Linked DNA regions of Rattus norvegicus. The protein of the gene in region 3 purifies or fractionates together with the protein of the main gene of each other region. This does not show direct contact. Links are inferred from orthologs where the notes say so. Each region holds a gene or a part of one and is shown on either strand. Other genes may lie near its edges.

Region 1 (4,003 bases), on a different chromosome or scaffold from region 3:
CTTTTAGTAACAAGGGACCAGCTTCTGGTTGCTCTGATCGAGTGTGCACTGTTCACATGGAAGGCTATTATATACTTACACTAGGCTACAAGAACAGGGTCTTTATATTAAACCAGGCTCAGGACATTGCAAATGCTTACTGGTCTAAGTTCTCCTCAGCAAACCAGAAGAAACTGTGTTTCCTCCTGTTTCTTAGAGAAAGAGTAACTTTTATTTATTTCTTTTTTGTGTGTTTGTAGGGGGGCATTCCTGTGGCAGTCAAACTTGTATGAATCAGTTCTCTCTTTCCACCATGTAGGCTTCCGGTGTCAAACACATACCCAGAGGTTTGGTGTAAAATACTTTAACCCACTGAACCAATTCGCCAGTCCTCTTAACACTTAAACAAAAATGTGTGTGAGCAATAGAAATGTAGTGATTTGGTGAGAAAACAGCGTATCTTCCACCTCACCGGGGATGCTATCCAGATGTAGATGCTAAATTACAAATACACACTGCTATTAATCCTCATCACTCTGAATCCAGCAAAGAACAGACTGTCTTGAAATACACATCATAATATTCTGCCTTAAATACTGAAGACTTAGGGGTAAAAAGAGAACAAGAAGGGCTACTATTAGGTGACCAGAAAGAACAGAGAATGCAGAGAAGGACCCATGAGTTCGTAAAAGAGAATACAAAGCTAATTGTTTTTCTAATTCTAAGTTTTCCATGGAGTTTTCCGGGCTTGTATGTGTACGTGGTAGATAAGTACATAAAAATGTAGTTGACAGTGAACGTGTAAAATCCAAAGTGAAGTTCCACAGTTTCAGAACTTCTGTTCTAATTGCATAGTTCACGGACCTGTGAAGACTCTGGGTTGGGGCAGGTGTTTGGCTACATTAATCTGCTTGCCTGACATTTTTTATTTGCGATTTCTTTGCAGAAAGGATTTTTTTTTTAATTCAGGAATAGTCAGAAAACTTGGGCAATTATTTGTTTAGGTCGAGAAGAGATTTTTAGACTAAACCTGGCAAGGAGTGGTGTATCCTCAAAAGGTACCGCGACCGCGCTCAGCAAGCTATTCGATGCGCTCGACGCTCTTTCGCTGGCGCCGTAGCACCGCGGTAGGAGTCTGCGCTCTGGGCTCGACTGAGGCTCCCTGGTTGCTCGCGCTTTTCTCTCCTTCTCCAAGATGGCGGCGGTCGGCGGCGCTGAGGCGGGATCCGAGCGAGCCGAGTGAAGGTAGCGGCGAGCGGAGCCCCCACCAGACCCAGCCGGACCCCCACCCCGGGGCGGCAACGGCCCTGCCCGGCCTCCGCCCACCGCTCCGGCCCCCCGACACCGTCCCGGAGGCTCTTCAGGCCCGCCGCGGCCTAGCTCAGGGGCCAAGCCGGGAACTGGAGTAGCGGCCGCAGCCGCCCCGGGGAAGGGGCTGGAGCGGGCCGCAGGAGGAAGGCGGCGGGAGCTGTTCAAACCGGGAAGGCGGGAAAGCTGCGGGGCCGGGAGGGGGCGTGCGGCCGCCCCAGGGACCCGCGGCCCGCGCCGCCCCTCCCCCTGCGCCGCCGTCTGTGCGCTCCGGGGCGCCGGAGGCCGACGGGACGCGGGAACTCGGGTCGGGAGGAGCGCGGCTGGGGACCCCAGGCGCGGGTTACCTGGGGCTGTCAGGAGGAGAGGTCCCGGGCCGACGGGCGGGAGGGCTGGGCGCGCGGCGAGCGGGAGAGGATGCGCGGAGCTCCCTGAGCTGCGCAGAGCTTTGTTGAACTAGCGGTTGCAGCAGACCTGCCGAGGTTAACAAATCGGGGACCCCGGGAACGGTGGTCTTGGGGACTGTGTGGATAAACAATCTCGTATTGTGTGTGTTCTTTGCGTGCGACTCAGTTTGAACATGTCTTAAGTGGAGTCATCTCCATACAGGCCCATTTCCCCCTCCACAACCACTACTTGTAGATTCACTTTAGTTTATATCATACATCAGACAAGATATGTCTACCGCCCACCCTACCCTTGTTTCTAGTACTGGCTGATTCTATTCCCTTGTAGCAAAATAAATTTTTTTAAAAACTGCATCCAAAGTAAAGCCTGTTGATTACGCATGGCTTGTCAAAATTTGGATCGCAGGTTTCGTGGAACCGAGTGTGTTATTAGCCAATCTGTGCTGTGGTCGTGATTACACTTATTAGCATTGCAACGAGAAGATTCAGTGCGCGTTTCTGGCTGTAGAGATCTCTGCAAGTTCCGAAGCTGGCAGGGGCTGGAGTGCTGCTTAGGTAGGTCCTTGGAAAAGGGTGTGGCGAGAAGAACTCCAGGAGATCGGATAAGGAAGGAAACCCACTGAAACAAGAATTCACCTGTGCTACGGTAGAAGTAGCAACAAAATATCAGAATCTGTGGACATCTGGAAGTGTTTCTTCCTTTGACTGCGTGGACTGGCAATCTGAGTTCCTAGAAACAGCCTTGGGGGAAACCCCCATCTGGAGGACAGAGACCTTCCTTGCCCAGTTTACTAGGTGGATTTTCTTTCTCAATTCTCCAATCTGTTCTGGGATGATGATGATGATGATGATACTGTTAGCGATTGCTGGAATAGAGATTACCTCCAAAAAACTCATTTTCTGAAACTTTTTTTTTATAGTTAACACTTTGAATTTCCAAAATAACAAAATTCTACCTTTGAAGATTTTAACTTTTTTCATAATTACTTGGTTATCCCAAAAGCCTGTGCTGAAGGTTGACCTGCAGTTTTACTGTCAAGTGGAATTAAGAGCCTGCTTCTCCTTTCCCATACCCTGAAGAAAAGCCTTGGAAGAGCCCAGCCACCGTGTTCACGTTTTCTAAGCATTCGCTTTCTATATATAATGACGTAAACAGTATTAAACAATGAATGAGCTTTTCTATGCTGTCATGTCTTTGCACACCAAGACAAACACTAACTGTAAGATTATCCTGATCCAAGAAGTTGACAACATTGAATTTTGTAAACTCCAAAATTATGGAATTCGAGAGAATGGATTTTGGCGCCTGTTTTATGTTGCCAACATTTGATGTAGTTTTCTGATGTGAAAATCAAACCTAAATTTTTCATCTTCATTAACCCTCCCAGTTTACTTCCTACCCCGGAGTCCTCAATTTAATTGGTGTTTATCTAATCTTGTATAAATGTTCCTGAACTCTGCTTTCTTTCACACTGCTGCTTGAGACCTTTTTCCCCTGGTACTGTCTTATGAGTCAGCTACCATGGAACCCTGAGCCACCATTCAGGGCCCGCCAATCTGCCCGGCCTGTGACTAGTCCATAGTAGTTCTCGGTTTCTGGACTTCCCTACATATTGGTGACCTGGACTTGTGTTCAGGGCTCACTCACTCTTCCCATGAGCATCTGGTCTTTGTTTTGAGAAAGTTCCAGTAGTAGCAGGTATGACCCTAATACAAAAAGCCTGCACATCTGTGTTGACCTGCCTTAAGGAACATTCCCTGATTTTACTTTTCCAAACCATTTTTAAAAATCTACTAGTTTTTCACAGCAGTCAGGAAATAACTTTTCATACCTAGTAAAAAGTTCAGTCAGCTCCCACACCAGTAAGATACTGATTAATTCTGTCTCATCAGTTTTAATGTTCTCAAGGAGGAAAACCTGTTTATGAGTCTCTGAGCCTGCCTTTACTTACGTTTAAAAGTGTATTGGTGTTTGACCAATACACTTTTAGTGGCTGTATCATGAGACTAAATATGGATGTTGTTGGACTGGGAAGGAAGAGGGCATTATTTCTCAAGAATTCTATGCCAAAATTCATCTGGCATGAAAAGCCTGAAACTTCAGTCTAAAATTGTTTTACCTAGTATCAGCCTGTGAAAGCCAAGGGGACCTGTATGGCTTTCTAATAAACTCATCGTTTTTGAACTAGTGAGAATATTGCCCTTGTTTTGTTTGAGAGATTCTCTCTAAATAGTCCTGGAATTCATTATGTCAATCAGGCTGGCCTTGAACTCACAAGATAGCCACTTGTCTCTGCTATCCAAGTGCT
Region 2 (4,358 bases), on a different chromosome or scaffold from region 3:
ATGTAGGGCTGTGTCAGATTTGTTTTTAAACAGCACAGTGCCCTGTACAGTTACCACACTACCAAAGGTGTCTTTAGACAGCCTTGTCCTGTAGTGTTTTCAATAGCCACTAACCTTGCCTGGAACAGCCTGGGGATTATAAAGTGGCATGGAAATTTAAAACAGGCTCTTGTATCTGATACATAGCACAAATTAGTTATATATGTGGACTGGTAGTTTTTTGGGTTTTCAGTTTTGTCTCTGTTGCAGCTTATACAAGGATAATTGTTCTGTCAACAGAATACCACTCTATAATTACAAAAAAAAAAAAGCTGTTTTGTTGACATTCTAAAAGCATCTAAGTAAATACAGATGTTTAGTAGATTTAATTATCCTGAGAAAAAAGTTCATTAAAACCATTCACATGTCTAGAACATACCATTTTTTCTTCATATGTAGGATCAGGTTCTTGGATTTCTTTTTGCTTTCCAGGTGATCCATCATCAAATACTTCCTGGTAGGAAAGGAAATTCATCAAATTGTTTAAGGATTGTCTACTCACTATCATACACTCATTTCTTTCAAAAAAAAAAATCATTCTAAATAATATACTCTTGCTCCAAACTCCCTAGATATTTACTGGCTATCAGATAACCTGGAATGAAACTTAATATGGATGAAAATAAAATACTATGGGGATAATCACTTTTCCCAATTATAAACTGTATTAAGATCTGCTATGATAAAATTAGTATCAATAACACCCTAAAACAAAATTACTTTTTATACAAGCCATACGGGCAAATCTGTATCTTTTCAAATAAAATTATAAATACAAATTAGGTAACATGAATGTGAACAAAGTTCTCTTTATATCATAAAACTCCATCTATCTACTGTGTTATTTTATACAAATGTATACATAGAAGGAAGCATTAGATCCTAATTTCCACTATCTAGGACATTACCCAAAAAAGGAGCTTACATAGCATACCCTTAGTCTGACTCCCAGTTAATAATATTCTATTCTTAAAAAGCATCTTGACATTCAAATGCCACAAGCAAAATGACAAAACCTCCAGCTCTAACTTATAGAAAAATTCTTGTAGCACACATTCAAGGAAAAGTACACCTTACAATAATAATGTGTGTTTTCCAACTGCAGATGTTACGTCTATAATTCAGTCTTTTTTTCCAACTGTAAAACATACCTAAGGTCCTCAAATACATTAGACATACTCAACTCAAACCTAGTTCTGATTCTAAATTCAGTTAAGACAATGAAAAGCAGTCTGAAGGTAACTGTCTTAAGAGGGAATAAAATAACCAGGAGAATTTAAACCCCAATGAAATTCTTTAATTCTTGAGTTGCTGTTTTTCAATTAAAATGTAAATATGAACATAAATGTGAAAAGCCCAAATAAGTGGTATTTCCATTAACCAGACGAGTAAACTGGGTCTTCTCAGTATAGAAATACCAATAGTTTCTATTTTTTCTCAATCTTATTCTTCACTCCTTTTCTGTTTATGTCATAGTTCCTACTTGTTTATTCTTATTGTTTTGGTTTTTTGAGACAGGATTTCTCTGTGTAGCCCTGGCTGTCCTGGAATTAGCTCTGTACACAAGGCTGGCCTCAAACTCACGAGATACCTCTGCCTCTGCCTCAAGTTCTGGGATTAAAAGGCCTGAGCCACCAGATTCCTTTATTTCATGGAACAGAAATATAAGAATCCAAGTTAAACAACCCTAGAAACTCTAAAAACCATTTAAAACCATAGGGGGAGCATCAAATACATTTTTAAACTGAAATTGCATTCACTTCAAATTGGTGCACTACACCAGCACCTACCTTCCCCAGGAAAAGTTGTTTCGAAGATTAACAATATTTCACCCAAGCTGCCCAATAAAAGTAAGCACACTGCACCATCATCTCCTTAGAGTGTAAATTCTATGCTAAGGTTCATTTTTATTGTATTACTTCCAATCTGAGGATTAAATTCCCAGGAATCTTCAGACTGGAACCTCAAATAATAATAACACCTCAAAACAAGACCAAGGCCAAGAATAAAAATTGGGAGCAATAACTTGGTTTCCAGGCAACTCAAAGCCTGGGAGCATATCCAAGAGACCTGCCTGGCAGCTCCCCCATTTTCCACCCTTTCCCTGCTTCCTCCAGTATTGTCACCATCATCTGGCCCACTAGAGCCCTGAGAAGGTGGTTCAACAGCGATTCCTCCAAATGGCTTCAAAAGGAAGCAACGTACTGGGCTAGGAGCCCATCACCCTCCCCCGATGCTCCCATTCATTCAGTTTTCCACGCATACACCCCTAATTGGATGGGGAACCAAGACAGGTGCTGCGGCTGTCATGCTCGCTCTCCTCCCAGTGGAGCAGGGCCCAGGAGGGGCCTCCCCTCGCTGCACAGAAGCAGCTGCGCCCCGCTTATCCCCACTGCGCATTCGGCCCTCCAGTTCTCGCCATTGTTTCTGCCCAGAACAGACTGATGCCGCCCCCGCCAGCACGGGATGAGGCACTGGAGGCGCAAGTCCTCAGCTGCGACGCTGGGAAACGTCGCCCTCGCCCCGGGAATCCCACTCCGGAGGGGCATTTCCCTCGCCCTCCTCAAAGTTTAGTGCAAACTAAAACCTAAATCGGAGGAACCCGAGCGAGTTCTGGGGGAGCCTAGCGATAGAGGAAACGGGTCCCTTCGGCCACAGTAATCAGGAACATGTGTTTCGTAAGAGCGATCCGCGATCTGGCTAGGCTAGCTACACCGAGGGGGAAAACGTAAAGGTGAAGTGCGGGAGACGCGCCAGCAGAGCATCCATCTCCCTACCCCACGCCCCGGCCGCGCTCACCTCCATCTCGGTGTCCGCGGGACCCGCGCCTGTGGCGCTCGGAGCCGCCGGCGCCGCGCCGCCCTCCGGGCCGCCTTTGTTGCCGCTGCTGCTCCCGCCGGCGCCCGCCGCCGAGGGCTTGGAAGGCGCGCTCTCGGGAGGCGGGGGCGGCGGAGGCTCAGCCGTGGACGACATGTTCCGGCTGCGTCACCCGCCGCGGCCACGGGCAGGCGCGGCGCCGAGGAAAGCGGCCTGGGCCTGCGCGGCTCTAGCGTCCGGGCCGCCGGAGGAGCGAGACCCGCCCGGAAGCTCTCACGCGCAGGGGCTCCGCCACCGACCAGAGCCGGCCCAGCCGCGACGCTCGCCTAGTCCTCCTCTTCCGCGGGACTCCGCTCCACTGGCGTTTACCTCACGGCGGGAATCACGTCGACGAGGGTGGGCGGGGCCAGCGGGGTCAAGGAGGTCAGGGAGGGCGGGCTGACTGTGAGGAGGCGGAGGGCCGAGGGAAAGGGAAAGGAAAGCGAAAGGTACTCAGAGGTCTCCCGGCGCCTTCTCCTCTACCGGAGTAGATTATCTTCTCCAACCAACCAGACAGCGACCTACGCCACCCGCTCTCAACCCTCGCGAGATCGCTAGTTCCCCCTTCGAGGGCCGGGTTGCGAGGGCGCATGCGCCTGTTCCTCCTAGACTCCGCCTCCTCCGGGCCGCCAGCGGGTTGTGGAAGGCGAGTGGGCGGGGCCTCGAGGAGGCGCGTCGGCGGAGGTTTGCGCGTTCGCTCCTTCGTGTGACGCGAGCTGGCTCTTCGGCGCTCCCGTAACGGCTCCGCTCGCTGTCTCCCGCCGGCTAGAGAGGCCCGCTTGGGAACGGCGCGACTGCCTGGCGACTGTTAGGCGTGGAGCAGAGGCCTGGGCTGGCCTTCGTCGTCCTACCGCCTTCGCTCACTAGCGTGACGTTAAGTGACGTTGGACGCCTGAGAAGAAAAATCTCCTCAGAATTAAACTCTGTGTTCGCTGCATCGGTCAGCTCCCCTTAGAGAGTTCGGTCTATCTCGGCGTTTGTGAACTTCAGGTTAGGCCAGAAGACGCGCTGCCCTGTGAGAACACGAATGGCAACAGATGAAGACAAATGAGAGCGTGTTTTTTACATCAAACAAAAATGCACGTTTGTCTCCAGAAGTGTTTACTAGGCGTGGTGATGCACGCCTTTAATCCCAGCACTGGGGAGGCAAAGGCAAGCAGATCTCTGAGTTCAAGGCCGCCTGATCTACAGAGCGAGTTCCAGATCAGCCAGGGCTACAAAGAGAAAAGTGTTCGTTGTTCTTGTTGCTTCTTTATCCTGCCTCAGGCTGTCATGGAAGCTACTGAGGTCTTTCGTCCTATCCTACAGAATCTAAACACCTACTCCCATGCACAAAAGATATTTGTCATCTTAATCCCGCTCGTTATTTCGTCCCCACCTATATTGAATAAAACTCTTTTCCAGACCTAATTTCAAACTTCTTGGAATAGATAATATTCATATATAAGTTTAAATGTTCGAAC
Region 3 (4,311 bases):
CACAGAGCAAAGTAGAGTCTTTGTTGCCCACACCCAACTCTCCTGGCTCTAGCAGCACAGAAATATTGGCACGGGTAAGTGAGTCTGCCAATATTGGCTGTGCTGCTCCAGGCAGGGTGGTGAGAGCTACTGAAGGGGCTGAACTCCCGAGGGCGAAGGAGAAGAGGAAACAGCAGCTGGCAGCACCATGCTGAGAGAATTATTTTTAATTATAATTTTCTGTATAAAAACGTCCATCAGACAGAAGTCAAAGGGTGAGGTGGTTATCAGGAACAGGGCGGGTAGCTCCAGCAGCCCTCTGACCCTCTCTCGTGCAGTCCTTGCTTAGAGTCCCAGGCGATCCACAGGTCCAGGGTGAACAATGAGGGTCAGAGGTGGAAGGCTCAGCAGGAGAGTAGAGGAGCATCAGCAGAGGTCGAGAGAAGGCCAGAGTCCAGGGTCAGGCTGTCTGGAACAGGAAGTACAATGGACAGAGATGGAGCAAGCACGGAGGATTTTTTTCCAAGAAAACCCTCACCTCCTCGATCGTCGTATTACTGACTGGCCCAGTCCCCTGTGCTGAGTCTTCCTTTTGAGGCCCCTGCACCAAAAAAGGGCTTCTGCTAGGGCCGTCCCCTACCATCCAGGTGAGTACTTTCCCCACCCCAGCCAGTGTGGGAGGAGGAGGACTCCTACCCTGGTCAAAGTTGAGTTTCTTGGCTGGAGGAGTTTCTCCTAGCCCTTCGACATCCACCAGGTCACTGTTGGCGTCGGAGTCGTTCAGAGCACTGAGTGTCACATCTGGGAGGGGGCATAGGCTAGGTTCTAGGTTTCCCTGACTGCTGTCTTCCCCTCCTCCCAGTTAGCCAAAGCTTCATGCCTTACACAACCCTCTACCCGCTTTGGAATCATCGGAGTACAGAAGAGAGAGGTCTCTCCTTCTTAGATCCAGGCCCAATTCTCTCAATGAATCTCAGATAGGACCTTTAACCCCTACCCTAGGCAGCAACTCCACAGCCCTCACCAGCCTTCTGTTTCTTTATGGGAGGACCCCCAGCTTCAGGGACACTGGAGCTGCTGGGCGGAGGGGCGTTTGGAGGTGAGAGGACACCGGATGTCATCTTCTTGGGACCTTTCTTGGGTGACTCAGCTGGAAGGGGGATACCGGAGTCTTCGTATACTTTTCTCTTCACAGTGGTCTTTATCTGAGCCCTGAAGATAAGAGAGAGACCAGATTAGGGAGTCATCAGAGAAGCGGAGGGAAGAGGGGAGGGAAGGGAATAATGGGCCACTCTGAAGGAATTCTAGTTCCTTCATAAATATCCAGGTCAAGGCCTTAATTCATGAGTCATCAGGGTCCCCCACCCACCCCCACACACCTTCAGAACCTTTGCATCCACTTAGGGATAACTGGTTATGAAGAATGGAGTTCCTGAACTGAGTGGCCAGAAAGGCCCTTTTCATGATTCTCTGGGAGATGTATGGATTTGTAGGGCCACCAGGTACGCTGTGGTGACAGAGAGGCAGACTGAGACTTTCTCATAGAACCTGTCCAGCTAATTAGTTCAGAATGCATCCCTGGACATGCGAGTCTCAAAGGATTTATATAAATAGCCAAGGAACCCTCACCATCAAACACACCCATTGTGTATCTGGGGCACCCTGAAAATAAAATTCTCTGCAGGTCCTTCCTAGTGACCACTGCATTTCCTGAACTTCCAACCAACTGCCACATTTATGGTCTTTCAGTCTTCAAGGAAATGCTAACAAAACTAGGAACAAAGTAGGAAAGATGCTGAGCTGGGAGTTCTGAGAAAGAACAATGGGTAAGGAGGAAGAAAGTTGCCCACCCTCCCCTTTCTCTGCCAACCACCCTCCCTCACACTGTCCGTTCCTTGATGACACAGCTGATGTGATTAAGATCGTCCCCAAATCGCTTCACAGCAGCCCTCAGCATCTCTATCTCCGTCTCCGTCCACTTGGCACTGTCGGAAGGGGAGAAGGGTGATAGCAAAAATGGCAGAGGAGTGTGTGGAACCAGCCCACAGGCTATTCCGTCCACAGCCAGTAAGTAGCCTCTTCCCTCTAGTCTCTAGGGGCACCTTTCAAAGATTCATAAAAAGAACCTCCTTAAGAAAAGCCCTGGGGACAAACCGCTAGCCACATGAAATTGCATCCAGGGCCACTTGAAAACATCTCTTCATCATGTAACAGCTTCTATAAACAACCCATGGAAACCAATGCAACAAGTAGGGGCTTTACAAATAGAACCCTTGAACGATGTGTGGCAGCAGTTTGAGGGAGTCCACAAGGCTTGGGGTAGGTGGCAGACAGTATGTCGGTTTGCAGCGGAGGGTTGTGGACCGGTAGTATCTTTACCTGTCATTCACTAATTCAACAACAATTTACACCTACACAGCGCTGGGCCAGGCACAGAGGAATTAGTAAATCTCCCTGCTCTAGAAAGGGTCGTGACTGTGACTGAGTCCAAACGTCTGCTCTCGGCGTCCAAGTCTTAGTCTGGTCTCACGTACCCGGCAGGGGAAGAGTCCGATACTGGATGCAGCTGCATCGTCAACTCCCCGAGCTTCGTGAAGGCGGCGCCGGCCGCGGAAAAGATCTCTCCAACCTGGGGGCGGAGCAGCATTACGGGGGGCCGGCATCGCGCCGTCCCACCCCAGCCTCGGATCCGCCCGCCCCCCGCCCAGCGCGCACCAGCCGGGAGCCAGGCAGGGGGCCCACCCTCCCGTGGCCGCCAGGGAGCGCAGTCCGCGAGGGAGGTCGAACCTTGGTGGACGCTGACGTCATGGCCCCGCGCACCTCCTCACGGAGACGCTCCGCCGCCACCACCACGCGAGCTGGAAACCACGGAGAGCCCGGCAGCCGGCCGCTCTGGCTCCCGCGCAGGAAGTCCCGCCCTTCTTGCAGCTGATTGGCTGAGACACGACCTCTCCCCAGTCACTCAAACTGCCTCGCTGCGCGGAGGAAGACGAGGTGGAAGACGTCGCTTCATTTCCGGCTGGCTTCATTCCACTTCCGTCGAAGGGTTCGGGTTCCTCGTCGAGGCCGGTCTGTCCTTCAAGCCCAGGCCCGCCCCCTCCTTGAAAGCACAGACACCAAACTTAGGAGAACCGCTTCTTTTTATTGTAGTTCAGGACAGGGCGCGGTCACCCCCGGTCCCCTCCAGGGGTTGGGCAGCAGTTTTGCAGGGCCAGGGATGACGTCTCGCCAGGGTAACAGTCCCAAAGGACACCAGATGAGTGGAACAGATGGACTGAGGAGTCTTTAAATAAGGAGGGGAATGGGGAGAGTCGGACTGCGCTCTAGCGCACCATGTATTCCTTGCGCTTATTGAGACGAACTTGGCAGAAGGAGAAGCCCCCGAGGAGGAGGTAGAGGCCCGCGGCGATGAAACAGTTGTAGCTGACTTGCTCGTACAGGTTGTATATGTTCTGAGGGCCGTTCCTGAAGGTGGCGAGTGAGCAGGGAAATGTAAACCATTCAGAGCATCCAATATGCAAGTTCTATGTATCAGACGCCATGCTAAAGCACTTTGACTTCTACTAGTCTTTCCGAGAATCATACCAGCTGAGTTCTATCATGGTGTCCATTTTACAGAGGTAGACTAAGGAGCAGGAAGGCAAAATATTGGAAGAGACCACATCTAAGCTGGTGGGCTGGGGGTAACCAAGGAAACCTGACTTGCAAGACTGCTCCTAAGTCCCCCTCCACCCCTCCTGCCCTCATCCTGGGGTTTGAAAGTAGGACCCTGCGTGTGAAGCACACGTTTGCCATTAAACTTATTTTGTAAAGAGCAGCCCTTGAAGTCCCCAGCCTAGGGCCATAAATGTCCAGTCTTCAGAAGTGTCCTCCACATAAACCCAAACCATGCTACTTCTCATCTACGCCCAACTCGCCCAAGTACCCGACCACTTACTCAAAATCTTTCTCTGTGAAGGGGACATCCTCAATTAACACAGCAGAATGGACATTGAAAAATATCCCGAGCATTATCTGGAAGAGTAAGGGGATAGGTAGGTTGTCAAATTCTTACCTTACGGCTTTGGTTACTCCCTAGGCTCCTCCCATTTCTAATGTTGGCCCAACACTTGCACCAGAGATTAACTAGAAAGGGCTAGGAGCAGGGTGGTTGTATCTGGAATCGGACTCAGCCATCTGTAACAGGGAGCGAGGTAGGACACTGGGAAGAGTGACTGGGTATAAGGAGGTATATAGCAATCAGCTCTCCAAGACGCGTCATTATCATGGGAGCAGATGGAAGAGATGAGGGAAACACACTTCATATTTCTGGAAGTGGCGGTCATTAGAGCC

The links.
Region 1: the proteins of C10h17orf49 (region 3) and Hmgxb4 purify together in Homo sapiens (affinity purification with mass spectrometry; 4 studies listed by BioGRID and IntAct, with this or other methods). This does not show direct contact. The link is inferred for Rattus norvegicus from reciprocal best matches to the Homo sapiens genes BACC1 and HMGXB4.
Region 2: the proteins of C10h17orf49 (region 3) and Smarca5 purify together in Homo sapiens (affinity purification with mass spectrometry; 5 studies listed by BioGRID and IntAct, with this or other methods). This does not show direct contact. The link is inferred for Rattus norvegicus from reciprocal best matches to the Homo sapiens genes BACC1 and SMARCA5.

Annotation. Positions count from the first base shown.
Region 1 is NC_086037.1:13,369,400-13,373,402, forward strand, and holds the start of Hmgxb4 (HMG domain-containing protein 4), read left to right. Parts: upstream 1-1,159; 5' UTR 1,160-1,224; intron 1,225-1,742; exon of another isoform or gene 1,743-4,003. UniProt on the Homo sapiens protein: Negatively regulates Wnt/beta-catenin signaling during development.
Region 2 is NC_086037.1:44,174,826-44,179,183, reverse strand, and holds the start of Smarca5 (SWI/SNF-related matrix-associated actin-dependent regulator of chromatin subfamily A member 5), read right to left. Parts: upstream 2,845-4,358; coding exon 2,839-2,844; intron 494-2,838; coding exon 419-493; intron 1-418. UniProt on the Homo sapiens protein: ATPase that possesses intrinsic ATP-dependent nucleosome-remodeling activity.
Region 3 is NC_086028.1:55,450,460-55,454,770, forward strand, and holds C10h17orf49 (chromatin complexes subunit BAP18), read right to left. Parts: upstream 2,853-4,311; 5' UTR 2,788-2,852; coding exon 2,767-2,787; exon of another isoform or gene 2,609-2,766; coding exon 2,514-2,608; exon of another isoform or gene 2,399-2,513; intron 2,047-2,398; exon of another isoform or gene 1,965-2,046; coding exon 1,863-1,964; exon of another isoform or gene 1,359-1,862; intron 1,192-1,358; coding exon 1,004-1,191; intron 781-1,003; coding exon 676-780; intron 449-675; coding exon 384-448; 3' UTR 189-383; downstream 1-188. Other genes in the region: Rnasek (ribonuclease kappa), read right to left, coding at 3,303-3,444, 3,917-3,993. UniProt on the Homo sapiens protein: Component of chromatin complexes such as the MLL1/MLL and NURF complexes.